2 linked regions of the Schizosaccharomyces pombe genome follow. The protein of the gene in region 2 interacts with the protein of the main gene of each other region in a pairwise test. Each region holds a gene or a part of one and is shown on either strand. Other genes may lie near its edges. The genes, in order: nap2 and rpl3202.

Region 1 (4,187 bases), on a different chromosome or scaffold from region 2:
GCTAAAGCTAACTTAATGACATTAGTAGCATCGCAGTGTTATTATTTGCAGCTCATAACTTCTCATTAGTAAGGTAAACATATGTAGCAAAAGATGGGTTCCTGCTGTTTGAAAAGCAATTGTTTTAGGTCTCAGCAACAAATTAGAGGTATTCAATATAATTCTTTTGAAAGATTGGTGAAGAGAATGAATAGACATCTCTACTTGTGTTCATATAATAATTACGTTTTGACAATCGAAGTAACTAAACTTAGAGTTACAAGAGGTAGTGATTTATTGTCAGAACCGTTATTAGTTGTAGTTCTTCCAACCTAGTACTAGTTCTTATACCTTATCATATAAACTCGGTGTGAGCTAACAATGCACTTAAAGATTGTTAATTAATGTACGAACAGATCTAGCTTTGACGTATAAAATAAATAGAAAAAGCTATTGCAGATAGTTATAGTAATAGCCGCTTACTTTTTGCTGGCTGTCCGCATTATCATTTTAGAAAAGCAAATGCTAATAAATAACACCACAGCTTCAAATAATGCGCGTACTAACCTAATACTAGCTATTAAAAAAGGAACCATGTAAGTAGAATATACTCACAGAATGATAAAAAATTACTTAGTATATTTTTTATACCTGCATTGGAAAAAAAAATTCAAAATTTAAAAAGACAAGAAAACAAATTGAAATTTTAAAGACAAATCCTAACTTAGATCCGCTTATTAAATATTTTATAGGATACTACGACGTAAATCAACATTTTAATTTTTTAAGCCACAATAAACTTACCAAACTATAAGCGAAATTATCATTCAGCGTCAATTTCTCATTTTTGCTCACATTGAACTTACTCATAATCTAACGAACACAATATAAATATCAATCACTAATTTCGCTACTCAAAATTTCTTCGTCATCTGAAGACAGATCCTCCTCATCAGTATATGCGTCTTCAGAGTCTTCTTCATCCATTTGGTTAAAATCGCTCAAGTCACCTTCTTCTAAGAAACAGTCAATTGCCAAGGGTATGATTTGATCTTTAAAGACTTCTCCCAATTGATAGTCGAGTTCTAAAAGCTCTGTTTTGTCATCCAAACCATCATCAGATTCATCATCGTCCAACTGAGGAGGTGAGAAAAAGTTGAAAAAACTGTCATTAGGGACCGTAGTACGGACCAATCTAGTTTGATTTGTTTTACGGTTACGTTGTTTTTTTGTCTCCACTCTAACCGTTAAATTTTTTTCAGGCTTGATCCAATTAATCTTATCACCCTCAGCATGATCATACAAAAACTCACCCGAAGGACTTAAATCATCTTTATAGTAATAAGTTTTCGTTAAAATCTTGTTTGTAAAGTAATCATTTGAGTCAAATTCGAATTCTAGTTTGTAACCATGAACATCTCCCGAAAGGTTGGTAAAACGAATGTCGCTGAGTGATCGCAAGACATTTTCATCTTCTGGTGTTATCATTTCGCCAACCAAGAAAACATTATGAAGACAAGTCAGCCAAAATTCGGGAATTCCCTTAGGATCTGGAAGATTATTTTGAAATATTTCTTCCTCGTGATCTAATTCGTCGTCCACTGGTTCAGAAACACCCTTGATAATTTCGGCTCTTCTAGAGAAAATAGGTTGATATTTTTTCTCGTATTTTGTTTCCAGATCTAACATTTTTTGACGAAATTCATATTGAATTGCATCACAATCTTTTTGAAGGCCTTTCAATGCTGTAATACGATTTTGGACTGCTGGCGCAAGGCTCTCTATATATCCCGACGACTTTCCAACCAACGAGCTAAGGCGTCCCTCAATCATTGATAACATGGCCGGATTGTTGCGCAATAACCCGCTAACTTCATCATGTGCTGATTTGTCCTCCAGTTGTGATTGCAAGGTTTGTCTAGCTTTTTCTAATGCGGCCTTACTAAGATGTACATCTGAAGATGGAGTATTTTGTGGCGTTTGAGCAGCAAACCCATTCCAAGACTTCTTAAAATCTCCTGGACCTTTAGACATATTTTAATAATGCAAACGGAGATTAAATTAAATTGGTAAAGCTTCGTTGTTGGACTGTGGATCTTCGTGAAGTCTACCAAAGAGATGTTGGGCCTGACTCGTTATTGCAGCTTAGCATATTTTAATGATATGTTTACAGCATTTTTCGTATGAGAGTCTTTAATGAAATATATTTATGTGTTTAGCGGCTATCATAGTTTGGGATAGTATTTGGGGTTTTATTTGGAAGAATATGTAAAATTAGAAAGCATCCGGAAGTTTACATATACGTTGACTTTTTTCTCTCCGCTTTCCTTATACTTTCTCTGACAAAGGTAATGGATTGTATAAACCAAAGGCGCTGCTTTCAAATTCTGATGTAGCTGTCCAAATAGCTAAAAAAAAAATCAATGAAATAAACAAATGTATATATCTCGTTTAAGCAAAGTGTCTACGCTATTCATATTAGTTTAACATATGTATCGTATCCCAATTATTAGTTGAAAATTCTATAAAAAATATATATATATGGATACTGATTAATAAACAACTCTACGTATCATATACTTCTATATTCATGAGTTAAACAACCTTATTGTAGCATTTGTTTACTAGTTAGTTGCCCACGGAGGAGCGAAAAACTATCGGAACATAATTCAAAAGTCAAACTTGTAAATAAAAATCTGCTATTGTAACGGTCATTGCTAACTTAAATAAACAAATCATAATTAATATATATAAATTTATTAGCGATCGTTCTGTAAATAAATAGAAAATGAGAATGAATAATCCAACAGAAAAATATATATATATATAGTAAATTAAAGAATAAAGAATAAACTAATACACTGTATTGAGTACTAATGGACTTGGAAACGAGGTAAATGTTTCACTCACAACACTTTCAAACAAATGAAATATTTTCTTACATTAAATTTTAGGTTCAAATAAACCAAACTGTTTTGCTTTTTAGATTTTTCATTCACATTTTATGATAAACAATGCGATGATACCAAATAATGTTACTTGTGTATGGTGTTTGTTTGCTACCTTGACAATTATTCTCTGATGCAACGTTTTTTCAAAGAGGTTTTCATTACTATACATTTACCCACTACGCCAAATTTGCTTTGAAAATGAATTTGACATTCAAAAATCTACAGCAGCAGAAATTTGTTATTTCTGATGTTTCTGCAGATACCAAAGTATGATAATTGTGGCATATTATTTTTCTAACGTAAACAGATTTCAGAATTAAAAGAAAAAATTCAAACGCAACAGAATTATGAAGTCGAACGTCAAAAGTTAATTTACTCAGGTATATAACATAATTTTAATATGTAAAATACTAATTTATAGGTCGAATCCTTGCTGATGACAAAACTGTTGGCGAATACAATATAAAAGAACAGGATTTCATTGTATGCATGGTTTCACGACCCAAAACTTCCACCTCTACTCCGAAATCAGCTGCCAGTCCTGCCCCCAATCCTCCGGCTTCCGTACCTGAAAAGAAAGTTGAAGCTCCTTCTTCTACCGTGGCGGAATCTACCTCTACTACACAAACTGTTGCTGCTGCTGCCCCTTCAAACCCAGATACTACTGCCACTAGTGAAGCACCAATAGACGCCAACACATTGGCAGTTGGTGCTCAACGAAATGTTGCTGTCGAAAATATGGTAGAAATGGGATACGAACGCAGCGAAGTTGAAAGAGCCATGCGTGCCGCTTTTAACAACCCTGATCGGGCAGTGGAATACTTATTAACTGGTATTCCCGAAGACATTCTCAATCGACAGAGAGAAGAGAGTGCTGCAGCCCTTGCTGCTCAGCAACAGCAAAGCGAAGCCCTTGCTCCTACTTCCACTGGCCAGCCAGCGAATCTTTTTGAACAAGCTGCTTTATCAGAAAATGAAAATCAAGAACAACCTTCTAATACCGTTGGTGATGACCCTCTAGGCTTCCTTCGTAGCATTCCTCAATTTCAACAGCTAAGACAAATTGTTCAACAAAATCCACAGATGTTGGAAACTATATTGCAACAAATTGGGCAGGGAGATCCTGCATTGGCTCAAGCTATTACGCAAAATCCTGAAGCATTTTTGCAATTATTGGCGGAGGGTGCCGAAGGCGAGTCTGCCTTACCTTCTGGTGGAATTCAGATTCAAATTACTCAAGAAGAATCTGAGAGTATT
Region 2 (3,092 bases):
GTGTTTTATACGTAAGAATAGTCTATTTAATTAAAGTATAAGATCAACACTGACTACAATCTCCTTTTAATGTTTGAGGGGCTGACGACCCTCCTAATCTGCTTAGTAAAGCAGTTTTGAGTAATAAAAAAGAGAATTTATGTCAAGCAAGAACAAACCAGTTTAATGGATTAGGATATAAGAGTGCTCGATGGCAAAACATTTATCGAAAAAATTATGTAGGAATCCAAAAAACCTGCAAATCCAGCGTCCTCCAGCTCAGATCAGCGCTAAAATATGTAAAGTTTTTGAAAAATGAAATGTTGTCATCCACTGAAACACTTTCTAATTGATCTTTGGTACTTTAAATCAAAACCAAAGACAACGTTAAAAAATATACAATGTAACCAAGGATGAAAAGAAAAAAGTTTGAAGTTGAAGGTTTAAATGGACAAGATGAGGTTTGAAGTTATAAGTTAAAGTAGACAGCTTCATGTTCGAATAGTCTAGATATACATTTGCAGAGATAAGCTTAAACAGATCTGAAAAAATTTGTCCCGAGTAGATGCGTTTGAATACATATTTGATGTGTTTGAACGAAATATAAGAATAGTTCTCAATTAAATAAAATATTAATGATATACGTTTAAACGGTTTGAGAGCCAAATGATCTGTTTCAGAACTCTTCGTTCATCTTATCGAATGCAGAAAAGCTAAATGAAAACGACTGCGTCACGTTTAACCATTTTTTTTAAAAGTGAGAAACTTTTTAAATTAAACTGTGAAAGGGAAATTTCGCTTAATAAACTAAAAGTTATCAACGATTATACAAAGAGTTTTTTTCCAATACCAAAGTACTTTCATTAACTGTACTAAGTCGTGATTCTAATTTACTCCTGAGAGCGAACCTTAGCACCGGCATTGGTGACCTTTACACCGAGAGCACGAGCCTTTTCAACAATTTCAACACGCTTACGAGCAGAGACGTTACCAGCAATCTCAGCAGCATAAGTCTTGTTATGCATCAACAAGAGCTCAACATCTGAAACGTTACGGACTAGGAAAGCCTTCAATCCATTAGGCATGCAGTATCTGGTCTTCTTGTTATTTCCATAACCAATCTTGGGCATGGAAATGGTGCCACGGAAACGACGACGAACACAACTATCAATACCTCTGGGCTTTCTCCATGATTCTCCAACACGCTTGAAGCGGTCAGACTGATGGCGCTTGAAGGGCTTGGTGCGCTTCTTGATGATATTGACAGCAGCCATTTCTGTTGTGTGGGTGGAAAAGTTAGCACTTGTGTTGTGAGTGTGTTTTGGAACGAACGTGACTGCTTTTTATGGGGATGGTAGCTGAGTTTTCATTTTTTGCGCTATAGTTCCCAGATTTGACATGTTGAAAAAGAAGTTAATAATATCTCTATTTAAATGATCAATAACATTATAAAACTAATCATTCTTCATTTTCATTTCTGTAATATCCCGTATTTAGCTTTGCATATCAAACTGATTGCTTTTCTTCAATGTTTCCTCCGTAACGCGAAATTGTTTCACTACCTTTAAATACCGAGCTTTTTGTAAGATACGCAAAACATACTTAACAAATTGAAAAATAACGCACACATCCCTCTACTTTGATAATAAACTTAAAAATGTATGCGCTACATATCGATATAATATTTAACGGTTTCCTCAAGCGACTTCAATTTCCGATCCACGTGGCCGTTAATCCCTAAACTTGTTTAGTCAAGCGACTACCGCTCTCGCTGATCACTGACATAGCGTGTACCTTCCCGCCTCTTCCCGCTCAGTTGGATTTCTTCGTTACACCAGCTTTATTTTACACAGTTTCCTTTCTCCTCCCTCCTCTCCGTTTCTGCAATTTCCTTACCTTTTCATTAAAGGAAAAACGACAAACTTATAGTAATCTCTATGTGTTTACATACTTGATGAACCCGTTGTTTCCTTTTTCCTTGCTTAATCCATCAACGATGTGGTCGTCCTCGCAAAACACTTCATTCGTTTGGGTGGTGATAGCGACAGGTTTCCTTTTTCATTTGGTTCTTTTTGTACTGTCATACGTGCTGGGATGGCCCTTTACAAATTTTGGATTCTTCTCCGTGTATGGCCTACGACACACGTTCCGTAATGGAGACTCGGTTTTCATCTCGTATGTGGCACTTCGTCTGCATCGTCCTTCTACTTCCAAGCCCTATTTACTGCGCATTGTAACCAAAGGCTTGATTTATACTCCATCACTTTCCAGTGCTAATGATGCACAATCGGCTGGTAAGAATGAGAACCAAAGATCTCGATTGGTGTTTAAAGCAAAGCGTGAGGAAGAAAAAACGGAGGAGAAATTTTGTCATGCCGTTTACATGTCTAACTTACTTCGCAATGTGGAGCAAAAATGGATTCAGTTTCTTCACAAATCTTGGATGAAATGGCTTCACATTAGTATCCAAGAATCTCAATTGACATTTCCCTCTGTAGGAACATTCGAGTTGGGCAGTCTTTCGATGGAAATGCGTCCTGAAACCAATAATGTCGTTGGATATGAAAATCCGTCTGATCCCGAACTTGTATCCTCCTGCGTAATTTGTAGCATTCGCTTGGCAAACCTGGTTTACATTGACCGCCGGCAGAGCAGTCAACAGATTACCGATTATTTGGACTTAAGCTTACAAACCTATTACTCTTTAGATAAATCAAACGTTCCTGACACGATTCTGCGTCTTCGTTCTTCCATCAAAGTGGGTGTGTTATATATAGATCTAGATACTCCACTTTTTGAGCATTTGTTAAATTCAAATTCTTCCGGAGGAAATCATTCTTCCTCCTCCTCCTCCTCTGGAAAAGTTCATGTGATGAAGGATAATGTTGAAGCGGCCTTATTAAAGTTACAGGAAGCTCAAATCCAGATCGGTACATTGAAGCTTTGGAAGAGAAATGTAACGGGATGTGGAGCCACCTATATCTTAAATGGTAGTGATTTTGGACTGAATTTGATTTTACTGAACAAAAAGAATCCTTCCCACAGAATGTTTTTCCCCGTAGAGGCATGTGTTCATCAAATTTTAGCCTCTGCTTTGTCTTTCAACGTCGAAA

What was found.
Region 1: the proteins of rpl3202 (region 2) and nap2 interact in a two-hybrid assay, tested with the Schizosaccharomyces pombe proteins (2 studies listed by BioGRID).

Annotation. Positions count from the first base shown.
Region 1 is NC_003423.3:2,983,836-2,988,022, forward strand, and holds nap2 (nucleosome assembly protein Nap2), read right to left. Parts: upstream 2,065-4,187; 5' UTR 2,014-2,064; coding exon 874-2,013; 3' UTR 672-873; downstream 1-671. Other genes in the region: UV excision repair protein rhp23, read left to right, coding at 3,129-3,197, 3,238-3,310, 3,352-4,187.
Region 2 is NC_003424.3:3,414,789-3,417,880, forward strand, and holds rpl3202 (60S ribosomal protein eL32), read right to left. Parts: upstream 1,269-3,092; 5' UTR 1,254-1,268; coding exon 870-1,253; 3' UTR 620-869; downstream 1-619. Other genes in the region: protein hob2, read left to right, coding at 1,934-3,092.